3 linked regions of the Danio rerio genome follow. The protein of the gene in region 1 interacts with the protein of each later gene in a biochemical or structural test. Links are inferred from orthologs where the notes say so. Each region holds a gene or a part of one and is shown on either strand. Other genes may lie near its edges.

Region 1 (4,141 bases):
TTCAGCAACCAATCAGAGTGCAAAAATAAAAACTGAAGTAATGTAGCAAGCAGACAATTAAGGCTGATTTACATTTCTTCATCAAGCGCACTTGTATGCTCCAGTGCAGCCTTTGCAGTTGCATAGCACTCGCAGTGGCTGCCGCACACTTCTCAAGAAATATAACTATACTTTCACAACGACGCATAGTACAAGCTTTGTAATAGGTCAGCTTGTTAGCTGTGACCAGTGTGGGTGAGACAGAGATCCGCGCCAACCTGTTTGAGTGAGTGTTTACAAGTGTCGAGAGTCTGTGAAGTCGCTCCGGATGGAAACTGTAGTTTTGTGTTTATGATTAATGCTGTTGCACGTCTGCCGGTTCCCGCATCTTAATGAGTAAGTTTGAGCGACTTGTACATTAGGGTAACAAATCAGAAAATGCAAAACATCCACATATAAAGTATAAAAAGCAGACAATGCACAGTGATGCACCGAGATATCGAAATGAATAGAATCGATGGCATGATAATCGTAACCGAACCGTGAGGCCAGTGTAGGTTTACACCTCTACTTTGCATGTGCATGTCGGAAGTTCGGTTTTCATGTATTGAACAACAAAACAGATTATTGCGAAGCAAAGTAATAAAACAAATCATCTTACAAACGGTTTTCATTGGCGCTAGTTGTAAGGCGTAAACCTGGTGTGCCCCAGCATTTATAAGCCTGACAAAGCATACTTTTTATAAAGAGGTTACAACTATGGCTTTTTTGGGAATGTAATGTAATGTATTTATCTAATGCCATTTCAGCAACTAAGGCTATTTTCATAGCAGGAACCTTTCAACAATATATATACACAATTAAAAGTCAACAAACAAAAGAATACATAAATTAAATAGGATTTTTAGTGTTGATGCATGATAGAAATTCTAAAATCTTTTCTAGTTTCACCTTGTTAAAAATGTCCTTAAAAGAGTTAATTTCATAAAAAAAGTCTTCTGGAATCATTAAAAGCAGGACAGTCCAGTAAAATGTGGCTTTTTTGGGAGAAAACAAAAACGAAAAAAACTTTGTTTTCAGGTAACCAGGTAAAGAATAAAAAGTGATTTGGGGAAAGCAGAGAGGTTATTCGTATGTGTATAACATATTTACGCATGAGCAAGTATTTAACAGTCAAAACAACACTAATAAACATGAGCATACTTAACTAGAGCACACAGCATTTCTTCAGTAAGTCACAGAGAGCTACAGGCCGATCATGGCGAATACAAAATTTCTTGTGGTTTTAATAGATCAGCATAAACATAATTAATGTACCCTAAGCTAGATTCAATAAAGTGCTTGCTTTTTTATTAAGCTTGGAACATGCAGTTTTAAAACCTTATTAATGAGGGGCTTAAATTCATTGGGAAAAAAAAGAATATACTGTGCAATTAATCTATTGACAGTAGAAAATAAAAACAAGGCGCAATGATGCACAAATGTCAACAAAAATACGAGTATGTACCGCCCTGACTTTTAAACTGCCTTCACATCTTGCATTTCTACGTGGGGTTAATTACTAAATATACCAGAATACACACTTTGACCATGCTGAACACGAACCAGTTTATTTCATGATTTTTCAATACATCAACAGTCTCATTTTTACAGTATCCTACACATAACACTATGCATCGACTATTTCTAACTTCTAATTAAACCTCACACAAAAGAAAATGCGTTTTTGACTGCCAAATAGCTTATGTGCCTCTCTAACCCACTTAATTTGCCTAAAACAGATAATCTAGTAATATCACGAAAAATGCAAAGTGATTTTCAACTATGATTCATAGTGTTTAGGTTATGAATTATCAGAATAACTGTTTATGATGAATTCAGGATCACTATAAGGCTAATTAAAATTGTTGTTAATGAAAACACACACGAACCTGTGTTAATCACAACACCTTTACGTTCTTTATGAAATAACATGAGTGCAGGATTTCCAGTGTGTGTGTGATGTGCAGATGAAAACACGCCACGACACGCACACACTCGCTCATCCCGCCTTTCTTCATGATGTCAAACCCCACTGCGTTAAGCAGCATAATGTACGCCAAAACATACCGTTATATTAATCTCTAATCACATCCAAAACGATCATCAACCAAGCTTAAAACTTACAAATATAACAACACGCACACAAAAAGTGCTCTGAAGCTCATTACTCTCATGTGGAGTCACTCTGAGCGACACACGCGAGTTATGTAGTCAAAGTAAGAGTATAAAGAACTTAAATAGGAAATCGTTCGCTACGAAAACCAAGTTTTAATGGTTTGTTTGGACTGAAGTGATTATATCTGACGCCGGTGCTAGCCGCAGCTAACGGCTAACGGTTTGGGTATGAAACGCGTTCACGCGGTTGTCTTCACCTCAGTGAAAACACATTCAAATTTCACTTCTCAGTCGCCATATTTTCGAGTATTTTCCTCACCGAGTGGCTTTGTTTTATCAGTCAAATGAGTTGGCGGTGTGGAAAGCGTGTGCTGGAAGAACGTGAACAGGCCTAAAACAGGCCTCAAAATGTCTCCTGCTTCACAAAAACAAAACCCGCCGCCAAACCGCTGGTTAGGGTTCCGTTAATAACCGTTACATTCCCCGCTGTTGGCGCTTCATGTTGGTTTTGTTTACCTGTTTGCCTTTGGCGTAGGGTTTTGACGCAATGTGGTGTCTTCTGGATCTGATTTTCCCTCCTCCTGTCGCCGCCATGGTTAACTAGATTGAGTCTGCTCAGTAGCGCTCGCCGGATAGAGCTCCGCTGTCACAGCGCGGCCCTCCAATATACCGTCAGCCACCGCGGCGCTGGGTTTCATGGGATATGTAGTTCAGGAGGACACTTCATGCGCGTTCACTATTGACGTCAGTTTGTAGGAACTTCGTTCGGGTGGTAGGGGATTTTGCTTTTGTAGATGTGAGTAAACTGAGGTATTTAGTAAATTAGGTCAAGATACTTTCTGTTTCATTTTTAAAACAGTGGTTTCTCCAAATATGTTCATCTTCATGCCAGAAATAAACATCTAGCAGTCATGAATGGTTCTTGTATAACCACCCATAGCTTATGTAGTGTAAACATAAATATTAGATATTAGATATCATTCATTCATTTTCTTTTCGGCTTATTCCCTTTATTAATCAGGGGTCGCCACAGCGGAATGAACTGCAAACTCATGCAGCATATGTATTACGCAGCAGATGCCCTTCCAGCCGCAACCCATCACTGGGAAACACCCATACACACTTATTCACCAACATACAATTTAGCCTACCCAATCCACCTGTACCGCATGTGTTTGGACTGTGGGGGAAACCGGAGCACCCGGAGGAAACCCACGCCAACACATGCAACCCCACACAGAAACACCTACAGACCCAGTCAAGGCTCGAACCAGCGACCTTCTTGTTGTGAGGCGATTATACTACCCATCGCTTTGCAGTTGAAACAATATATATATATATATATATATATATATATATATATATATATATATATATATATATATATATATATATATATATTTTTTTTTTTTTTTTAATTGTTTTAAATAATGTACCAAATATTATTTTAATTTACTTTATGCAATCATTGTATTGATTTATTAATTATATTTCTAATTGATTTTTATACTCATTTGTAATTATACTAATTTTATTTATTTAATTCTGCTTTTTTGTGATGCATTTATTATTAATTTTTAATTGCTTCTGACATTTTTTTCATCATTTTAATGTAATTCATGTATTTATTGTTTGTTTAAATAAATTTCATATTAACAATTTAACGTGTAATTTATTTGATTTTGATTTAGGATTTTTTTTTTCTAATTATAATTTATTATTATTAGATTATTTAAATATAATCTTCATTTAATTACATACAAATTTGTTTGTTAATAAATGGTTTCATTTTGTATCATTTTAATAAATAAATAATTTTTTATTTATTCAGAATTTTCTTGGGGTGACGCGGTGGCGCAGTGGGTAGCGCTCTTGCCTCACAGCAAGAAGGTCGCTGGTTCGAGCCTGGGTCAGTTGGCATTTCTGTGTGGAGTTTGATGTTCTCCCTGTGTTCGCGTGGGTTTCCTCCGGGTGCTCCGGTTTCCCGTACCGTCCAAACACATGC
Region 2 (4,409 bases), about 2.7 Mb from region 1:
GAATAAAGAGGCAGCAGAGGTTCTGCAGACGAACCGGCGACTCTTCGAGCAGAACGTCCAGCGGTCGCTGCGGGGCGGATACGTGGGCGCCACCTACTTCGAGCGCTGCCTGAAATAGTCCCGCGCCCGCCGGCCCTCACGTCCGAGAATGCATTTATCGTTTACATGCGCTGAGATGTACTGACCGACACACTGACCGCTCTCGGGTGTGCGGGACGGTGGCGAGCGTTCACAGGCTGGTCAGTGGTTGTTGCTCAGAGAATTCAGTCGTATTTCGCCACTATGCTGGTACCCACTGTTTATTTTTTGCTGAGATTCACATGCTAACTCATCCTCCACTCAACATGAGCGTGCGCGGGGCAGACACACACACACACACACACACACACACACACACACTCACACACACTTCTCTATTCCATCACCCAGCTTGAGGACTGATTGGTTTGGGCTTGAGACGGCCGCTGCCCCGCGCCGCACACATCAGCCGTGTTCAGTCGTCCTCATGTCTCTGTCTGCCAGATTCTCTCAGTATCGGTTGTGTTTAGCGCTGCATTTGACCAATTCCTGATCACATTTATAAATTGATGGCCGCTGCATTGATCGCCGGCGGTGCACAGGCGGCCGCTGGGATATGTGTGCTGATTGGCTGTTGGAGAGCGGGGGGGCGGGTCTGCAGGACGGGGCGGGTTAGCGAGGGTTGCGTAATGTTACAATTCTGTTGTGTATATTAAATCCCAGTTGTTCACGATGACTGCAATATGAATTATGTTAAATAAAATATTGACTTGAATGCCTACAGTGATGGAGGAGTGTCAACTACAGCCTCACACACACACACAAACTGTCTCATACACACACACAAACACAACCTCACACACGCTTTCTCACAGACACACACACACCATCTCACACACTGCCTCTTCTACAGCAATAATAAACTGAGCACACTGAGCAGGAGCGCTGTTGTGTGTGTGTGTGTGTGTGTGTGTGTGTGTGTGCTTCTGCACAGGAAGCTGCTCTAGAACTCTCCTCCGCTCGTGTGTGATCAGTGTTCCTCAGGCTGAAGGGCTCATGATCACGGCTGCAGTACACTATGCTGAAGTACACTGAAGACCTGCTTCCTGTTCCCTGTGTGTGTAGTGTTCTGCAGAGGGATTGGGACAGCTATAACGAGCCCTCAGTGTGTGTCATAATAGTGCACATCTGCAGTTCACTTCATCAAAGTGCTGAGTAATGATGACTTTGCGCCTGAAGGTGCTGTTCCTCTAGTAATCAGTGTGCCGTGGGAATCACACCACACGCTACCCCTGATAACAGTGCGCTCCGTGTCTTCATCATCTGCTCTTTCTGACCCACACTCGGTCTGACGGGCTCTTGTAATGAACGCAGTTCTCCACACTATCGAGACGCTCCCTCAGTAGGCAGCAGAGCGTCATGATGCTGCGCGTGGGCGGGACCTGTGACGTCAGCGCGTGATATCGTTCCGCGGGCGGGAGTTCCGCGCGGCCTTTTCCTCGCGACAGCGGCTGATGAGCAGAAGCGGTAACCGCGAGAACGGCTCGGCGCTTCAGCATTAGGCGTGGACCGACCGACTTTACCGACCGACTGCACTCGTTCTGCCCCCGCGGACCCGACAGGATGGAGCTGATCACGATCCTCGAGAAGACCGTGTCTCCAGGTAAGCAATCCTCACACGCGCCTCTCCCGCGCACGGATGCCGTTTCTCCCGCGTGATGACCGGGGCTGAGCCGCTTCCCCGGGTGTGAGCGACGGTTAGCGGGCGGCTAACGCAGCGCAGGCCCGGTCGCTGAACCGCGAACGCGACGCGTTAATCTCCACCCGTCGAGTGGCGAACAGCAGCCGGACCCTCGGCTCGCCAGAGCAGGAGCGGGTTACCGGCCTGCTCGGTGTGTCCGGTCTCTGCGCGGTAACGAGTGTTAATGATCAGAGTTCACACACCGACACACGGCTCTACTTCATGGTCGCGCACATGTCGCGCCGCCGTGGGGTTTGTCCCGCCCGCGCTTCTGTTGGTAAAGTTGTTAGCAGTTAGCATGCTAGTCAGGAAGTGGCTAGGTGTTAGCATGGCTAGCACTCAGTCATCCTGTGCCGCTGCCTCTGAAAGTTCGCGCGTGTACGGCCGTGTCTAGTTTACACCGACTCTCCTCCCGCTCGGAGCCCGGTAAAGCGCTGTGGCCGAGCGCGATGCGGAGTTTCCCGGTTCTGACGCGCAGCTCCGCGTTTGGCGGGAGAGTTTCACAAGCGATCGATCAGGGAATTGACTGATGATTGTGATTGATTTTCAGATCGGAATGAGCTGGAGGCGGCACAGAAGTTTCTGGAGCAGGCGGCCATCGAGAACCTGGTGATGAAGCACACACACACACACACACACACACATCAACTGTCTCACAGACACACACACACTGTACTACTGTGTTGAATTGATAGTGTGTAAATTGTTTCTGGACCAGGACTCTGTTGTGTGTGTGGATCTCAGTACTGTGCTGAGATCAGCTCCAGCAGACCACTGGTTCTCCTACAGGTGTGTGTGTGTGTAACTCTGTGTTCTGCTTCTCAGCCGACCTTCCTGGTGGAGTTGTCCAAGGTGTTGGCGAACCCGGGGAACACACAGGTGGCTCGCGTCGCCGCCGGCCTGCAGGTCAAGAACTCTTTGACCTCTAAAGACCCGGAAGTGAAGAGTCAGTACCAGCAGAGATGGCTGGCTATCGACACCAGCGCACGCAGGGAGATCAAGAACTACGTAAGGATGCTGTGTGTGTGTGTGTGTGTGTAAGAGAGAGAGAGAGAGATCTTCAGGATGCAGGAAGGTAAAGTGTGTGTTCACAGAGATCAGACACACACTCCTAAATGATGGCGGTATTTGCTCAAACGGGCTGGACCAGCTGTAGAATGTGGATCTGCAGGAGTTTAGTACTTTCACTTACAGTAGTGCAGCGCTCAGCTTCCCCTGATCACTGACGGAGCATGCTGGAGTGTGTGTGTGTGTGATGTTGATGTGAGCGTCAGCATGGGGAACTTGAGTATTCATCTTGAAGTCCTCATGGCGGTCACTCTGCTGTTCTGAGATCAGCCTTTACAGCAGCAGGAGTTCAGTGATGATCAGCTGTGGTGAAAAACTTCGCTCAGTTTCTCCTGAACATCACTGCAGATGATTATAGTTTAATATTCAGGAAACCGCAGCACCTGAACACTACACCTGCAGACAGCCGTGTTCATGATGGAGGCATCGTGTGTGTGTGTGTGTGTGTGTGTGCGCGTGTGTGTGTGCACCGCCACTGCTGTTCTTCTGCTGTGCAGACAGGCCTGTGGAGGTTTAATGGAGCTCTGTGGTAGAGCGGGTAAATTGAGCTCTGGGCTCAGCTGTGCTGTTTAAGGCCCGACTGAAACACCTGCATTATTAAAGGGCCATGAGACCCCCTCGTTTCAGCAGGGTGTTTTCACACCTCTACTCTGGAAAAAGTCAGAAAAGTGGGCGTGTCCAGCTCTGTTTAGGGGGGAGTGTCGGAGGAACTAAAGTGGGAGGGTGTGGGAGTGTCTATTTGGGCACGCGCGAGTTTCAGAGTCAAAACACACACAGTAGAAAGTGATGGTGTTTAACCTACATGCACATCTGTAGTCGAATTATTTGCCAAATGATTAAATGCTGGACTTTAACTGCAGTTTGGCTCTTTCATTCAGGGAATTCATTCATGTCCCTCGCGACAAACGAGATATGTGATTCGAGGAACTGCTCTAAGCGTGTATTTTTCATGTAATGTTTGATCCCGCACGGCGAATGAGAGAAAAAAAACTCAGCATTTCCCGGAAACTTAAATGCACTCGGCAGGTAGTGTCAGAAAGCCGCGTGTGTTATTCCGGTCACTAAATGCGGTCACAAAATCCAACACGAGGGTAAAGTTTGGTTGTGGTGCTAACGTGTTTACACTCGGTGCAATAGTTTGTTAGATATAAACAAAGAGCGCTGGTCGCTCACTTACCAAACCTGTAGAGACAGGACAATCACCAGCAACTAGAGCCGCGTCTTTATTTAGAGGAGACTACAATCCGGATCTCAGCGTTTGCAGATGAGAACAGCTCTCAGGTAAACAATAATCCTCCTTAGACACGTAAGTTATTGTTGTCGAGCGTCGCGTACACTGTTAATCCACACGTGAGTCCAGCTGCGCTCTCACAGAGAGAAAATGAAAACAAAACTTCACTGCAGCAAACTATTAAAGCAACACTTCACGCTTGTTTTGCCAACACAACGTGGCGTCTCTGTCGTGTAAACATGGTGACAGTAATGAATATTAATGAAGTTGCACAATAGAGCGCGCTGATTGGTTTGAACCAAGCCTTACTCATGCATTAATGCAGCACACTGTAAGACGTAATAAGACACA
Region 3 (3,652 bases), on another chromosome or scaffold:
GTTTTGTGCTTAATAAAATAATTTCTAATTGCATCTTTAGTGATTTTCAACTAATTAAACTGTATTGTCTTAATAGGTGGATTGAGAGGTTTTTGCAAAAAAAAGCACAAGTGAATTTAGCCGGTTGATATGATGACAGTACATAATATTTTACTAGACATTTCTCAAGATTAGTATTCACCTTAAAGTGACATTAAAAGGCTTAACTAGGTTAGATTTAGGCAAGTCAGGTTAATTATGCAAATCATTGTATTAGGATGGTTTGTTCTGTAACAATCAAAAATTAATAATGCTTAAGGAGGCTAATAATGCTGACCTTAATTGTTTTTTTGGTTTTTTTTATTAAAAACTGCTTTTATTCTAGCTGAAAAAAAAAGACTTTCTCTAGAAAAAAAAGATCTTAAAGGAAATACTGTGAAAAATTTCTTGCTCTGTTAAACATCATTTGGGAAATAATTAATAATGAAATGAAATTTTAACTTTATGCAGTAAATAACTGTACTGACATTTTGTGTTGTTCGAATAAAACCCTTAAAATGACATTACCTCATCATTGAGCCAGCTGCCCTCTTGTAGTGTTGCCAGATCTCTCTGTGTGATACGCAGTTTGAAAGCACTGCACAAAACCAGGTTTGGATCACTCTGAGCAAGAGCAGCACTCACTTCCTGCTGCATCTCCTGTTACAGGACACAAAGAGAACACTGTGACTCAAACCACAAGGAAAACAACCAAGCTGACAACTAATGCATGAGTGAAAACAAATACACTGTATTACAACAACAATAACAACAAAAAAGGTTTACATTACAATATTTCTCTTGTTAAGGAGTTCGCTTTAGTGATATCAACGTTTAATTAAATCATTAGTTTATCAAGAGTATTTTCATAGAAAAAATTATTTGTAAAATTCTTCGAAATTAAGGGCGCACTCACACTAGGTTAACCGAAACATTCCCGGGCACGTTTCCCGGTTTGATTGAAAAGTTTGAGTGCTCTGAATCGGGCCCAGGTGCAGTTCAGTTGGCTGGCTGTGGCCTGGTTAAAGGAGGTGTGCCAGAGCGTGGTTCAGTTGTGCTCAGGCACGGTAGGCTTGTAGTGTGAGCGTAAAACTGAAGACACAACTTCACTTTTCATATGGATTTATTAATCATTCTTACTTTTCAATGAACGCAAACTGTCCTAGTTTCTCAAAGATGCAAACCCCTCTTGCTGCACCTTCAGGAAACCTCTTAATACATGATGCACGAGGAAATTTATGCTAATTTATGAGCGTCAAAAGTGGTGAATCTGTTCTGCATTATATAACTAAAGCAATGTCCACTGTGCTGAGCGAGAGCGCTTTCATTCCTGTTAAACTGAACAGTCGTATCATCGATGTTGTAAGCGTGCTCCGGCTTGAAATGTAATGCAGTGTGAGTGCAGGCAGTCATGACTTTTGACAGTAAAAGTCATGACTTTTCAGTGTCAATGCAACTGCTTATATCTGTAATAAGTGGATGTGATTAAAAAAAAAAATTTAAAATGAGCACAAAACAGCCCAATTTGAATTTTTAGCAATTAAAGTTTAGAGCAACAGGTTTGAAATATTTTCCAGTAATAAAAAAATGTTTTCATGCAAGTATCTTGAAAATAAAAGTAGAATTAACCCACTAAAACATCAATCTGAGAGAGACTGAGGTGACCGTAACAACCTTGGTCAGTCTGGGAAACTCCTCTTCACCACGCCTCACTGCATCTGTAATCACTTCAGATCTGGAAGGTATCAGAAGTCCAACAGCAGAATCCTTGTCCTTCAGATTTAACCTGGCTTCAACCTCAGCTGACAGATCAACATCTACAGCCTGAAGAGAAGGTGAGAAAGAAGGTGTTAGAGGGAGAAAAAGACACTACAAGGAGCCATTATTGCATTATGTTGCTTTAAAATGTGGTCAAAATACAGCTACACTAGGCCTGTCACGATACCTATTTTTTGTCGAATGATACATTGCACCAAAATATATCGCGATAAACAATATTAATGTAATTTTAAGACATTTTTGCAGCTCGTTATACAATGCCAAAATGACAATATAATAGCATCATTACGCAAGAATACTCTCCCAAAGAATACATCATATTTTATTCCTAAAAATATTTTAATTAGTCATTTTAACAATTTAATAATTAGGCATTGGAATCAGAATGTAAAAACGCATAATCCTAAATAATCAATAATAAAAAGTGCAAGGTAAAAAGTACCAGATGCTGCGATCAATTGTCAGACACCCACATGAAAATGAACTAAAGTCATTTACAGTAAATACTATACTGTTTTTTTTAACCACACTGACACCTCCAATAGATATAGAGATCATGTCCATGTGTTGTGCGATAACTTGATGTATTGATTATTGTGACAGGCCTAAGATACACAGAAAACAATAAATAATTTAAAAAAGAAAATTACGTTATTATTAGTCTGCAAAATAATAATTTCAGTCAGTGTAAAGCAGAAGATGCTGAGACTTCATTTCAGTATGTACTTCCAACTGTAACAAAATATTGAGTAGGGGGTGGGGCTTTCATTTTGCACATCACTCCCTCATAGCAAACTAATGGTAAAAGGGGTGTGGTTAAGGATATTAATATACAGTTGCTATGGAAACCCTCCTACTGACCTCAACAGAAGGATCACCACTCCAAAGGTAAGAGCAAATGGTCAAACTTTGATTGATTTAATAAAACTAACTTTTTTTCAGTAGATTAACTTGCACAGATTAATTGTTCACTTTAAGAGTAACAAACGTGAGCTAGCAAAATAAACATTGTACATTTTGATTTCACATGACACTTTACAGCACATGAAGCAAGCACTTACGGTTTTTCGTGTAGTTTGATTATCCAAGGCTCCTTCCTTGACATCACTTCCTGTTGTGCTTCGATGACCATCCACTGTTCTGTCACAGTTGAAAAATAAACAGAAATGAATCTTTCTGCATTCAGCAAACGCATATAAGGATTATGTGGCATGTTGAAGTATTACCTGTCTTTAATCTGCGTCAGGGATAGTGGATCCCGCCACATAGAAATGTTAGGGATGACTTAAGGCAATTAGGCAAACAGAAAATGTAAGTATAATGGAACTCTTCATCAAACACTTATGAAAAAATGTGAAGTTCTAATAACAGTGAAGATTAATTTAAATAAACTCTCACCTCTTACTGGCGCAGGTCTGTTCAAGTCAGTAGTGCGACAGATGGAGGTGTGTCCACTGACCTTGTGTCCATCAATGGGGAAAGCGGTGCTAAAAGATTTGATTGAAAACAGTGTTAACTTGCACCAGCTAAGCTGTGGTGATTTAAAAACATATATAATTTATGTGCTTACATGGAAGGCTTTATCCGTCCAAACGGCAATGGTTTGCTCTTTGAATATTTTTCAGATGCCATCTCCACTAGCTTCCTATAATGCTCTCGATCACTCTCTCTCAATGCCTAATCAAAAGAAAGATGCTCAGGAAGCCATGTATTTAAAAAAAGGTACTAAGTTACAACATTACAACTCAGTTTGCTAACCTCCTCCACGGTCAGGCAAGGTTTGGGTGTGCGGCTTGGGAGCTCCATCTCAGCCTGTCTTGAATTTAGCCCATTGGTGGTGCATGACGGCACAAGC

What was found.
Region 2: the proteins of nup153 (region 1) and kpnb1 form a complex in vitro, tested with the Homo sapiens proteins (4 studies listed by BioGRID and IntAct, with this or other methods). The link is inferred for Danio rerio from reciprocal best matches to the Homo sapiens genes NUP153 and KPNB1.
Region 3: the proteins of nup153 (region 1) and senp2 form a complex in vitro, tested with the Homo sapiens proteins (2 studies listed by BioGRID). The link is inferred for Danio rerio from reciprocal best matches to the Homo sapiens genes NUP153 and SENP2.

What each region holds. Positions count from the first base shown.
Region 1 is NC_133194.1:48,945,544-48,949,684, forward strand, and holds the start of nup153 (nuclear pore complex protein Nup153), read right to left. Parts: upstream 2,808-4,141; 5' UTR 2,731-2,807; coding exon 2,653-2,730; intron 1-2,652. UniProt on the Homo sapiens protein: Component of the nuclear pore complex (NPC), a complex required for the trafficking across the nuclear envelope. Functions as a scaffolding element in the nuclear phase of the NPC essential for normal nucleocytoplasmic transport of proteins and mRNAs.
Region 2 is NC_133194.1:51,598,229-51,602,637, forward strand, and holds the start of kpnb1 (importin subunit beta-1), read left to right. Parts: upstream 1-1,489; 5' UTR 1,490-1,641; coding exon 1,642-1,681; intron 1,682-2,309; coding exon 2,310-2,368; intron 2,369-2,584; coding exon 2,585-2,767; intron 2,768-4,409. Other genes in the region: si:ch1073-205c8.3 (NEDD8-conjugating enzyme Ubc12), read left to right, coding at 1-118.
Region 3 is NC_133181.1:12,367,007-12,370,658, reverse strand, and holds part of senp2 (sentrin-specific protease 2), read right to left. Parts: coding exon 3,556-3,652; intron 3,475-3,555; coding exon 3,368-3,474; intron 3,285-3,367; coding exon 3,196-3,284; intron 3,082-3,195; coding exon 3,024-3,081; intron 2,938-3,023; coding exon 2,859-2,937; intron 1,843-2,858; coding exon 1,693-1,842; intron 679-1,692; coding exon 547-678; intron 1-546. UniProt on the Homo sapiens protein: Protease that catalyzes two essential functions in the SUMO pathway.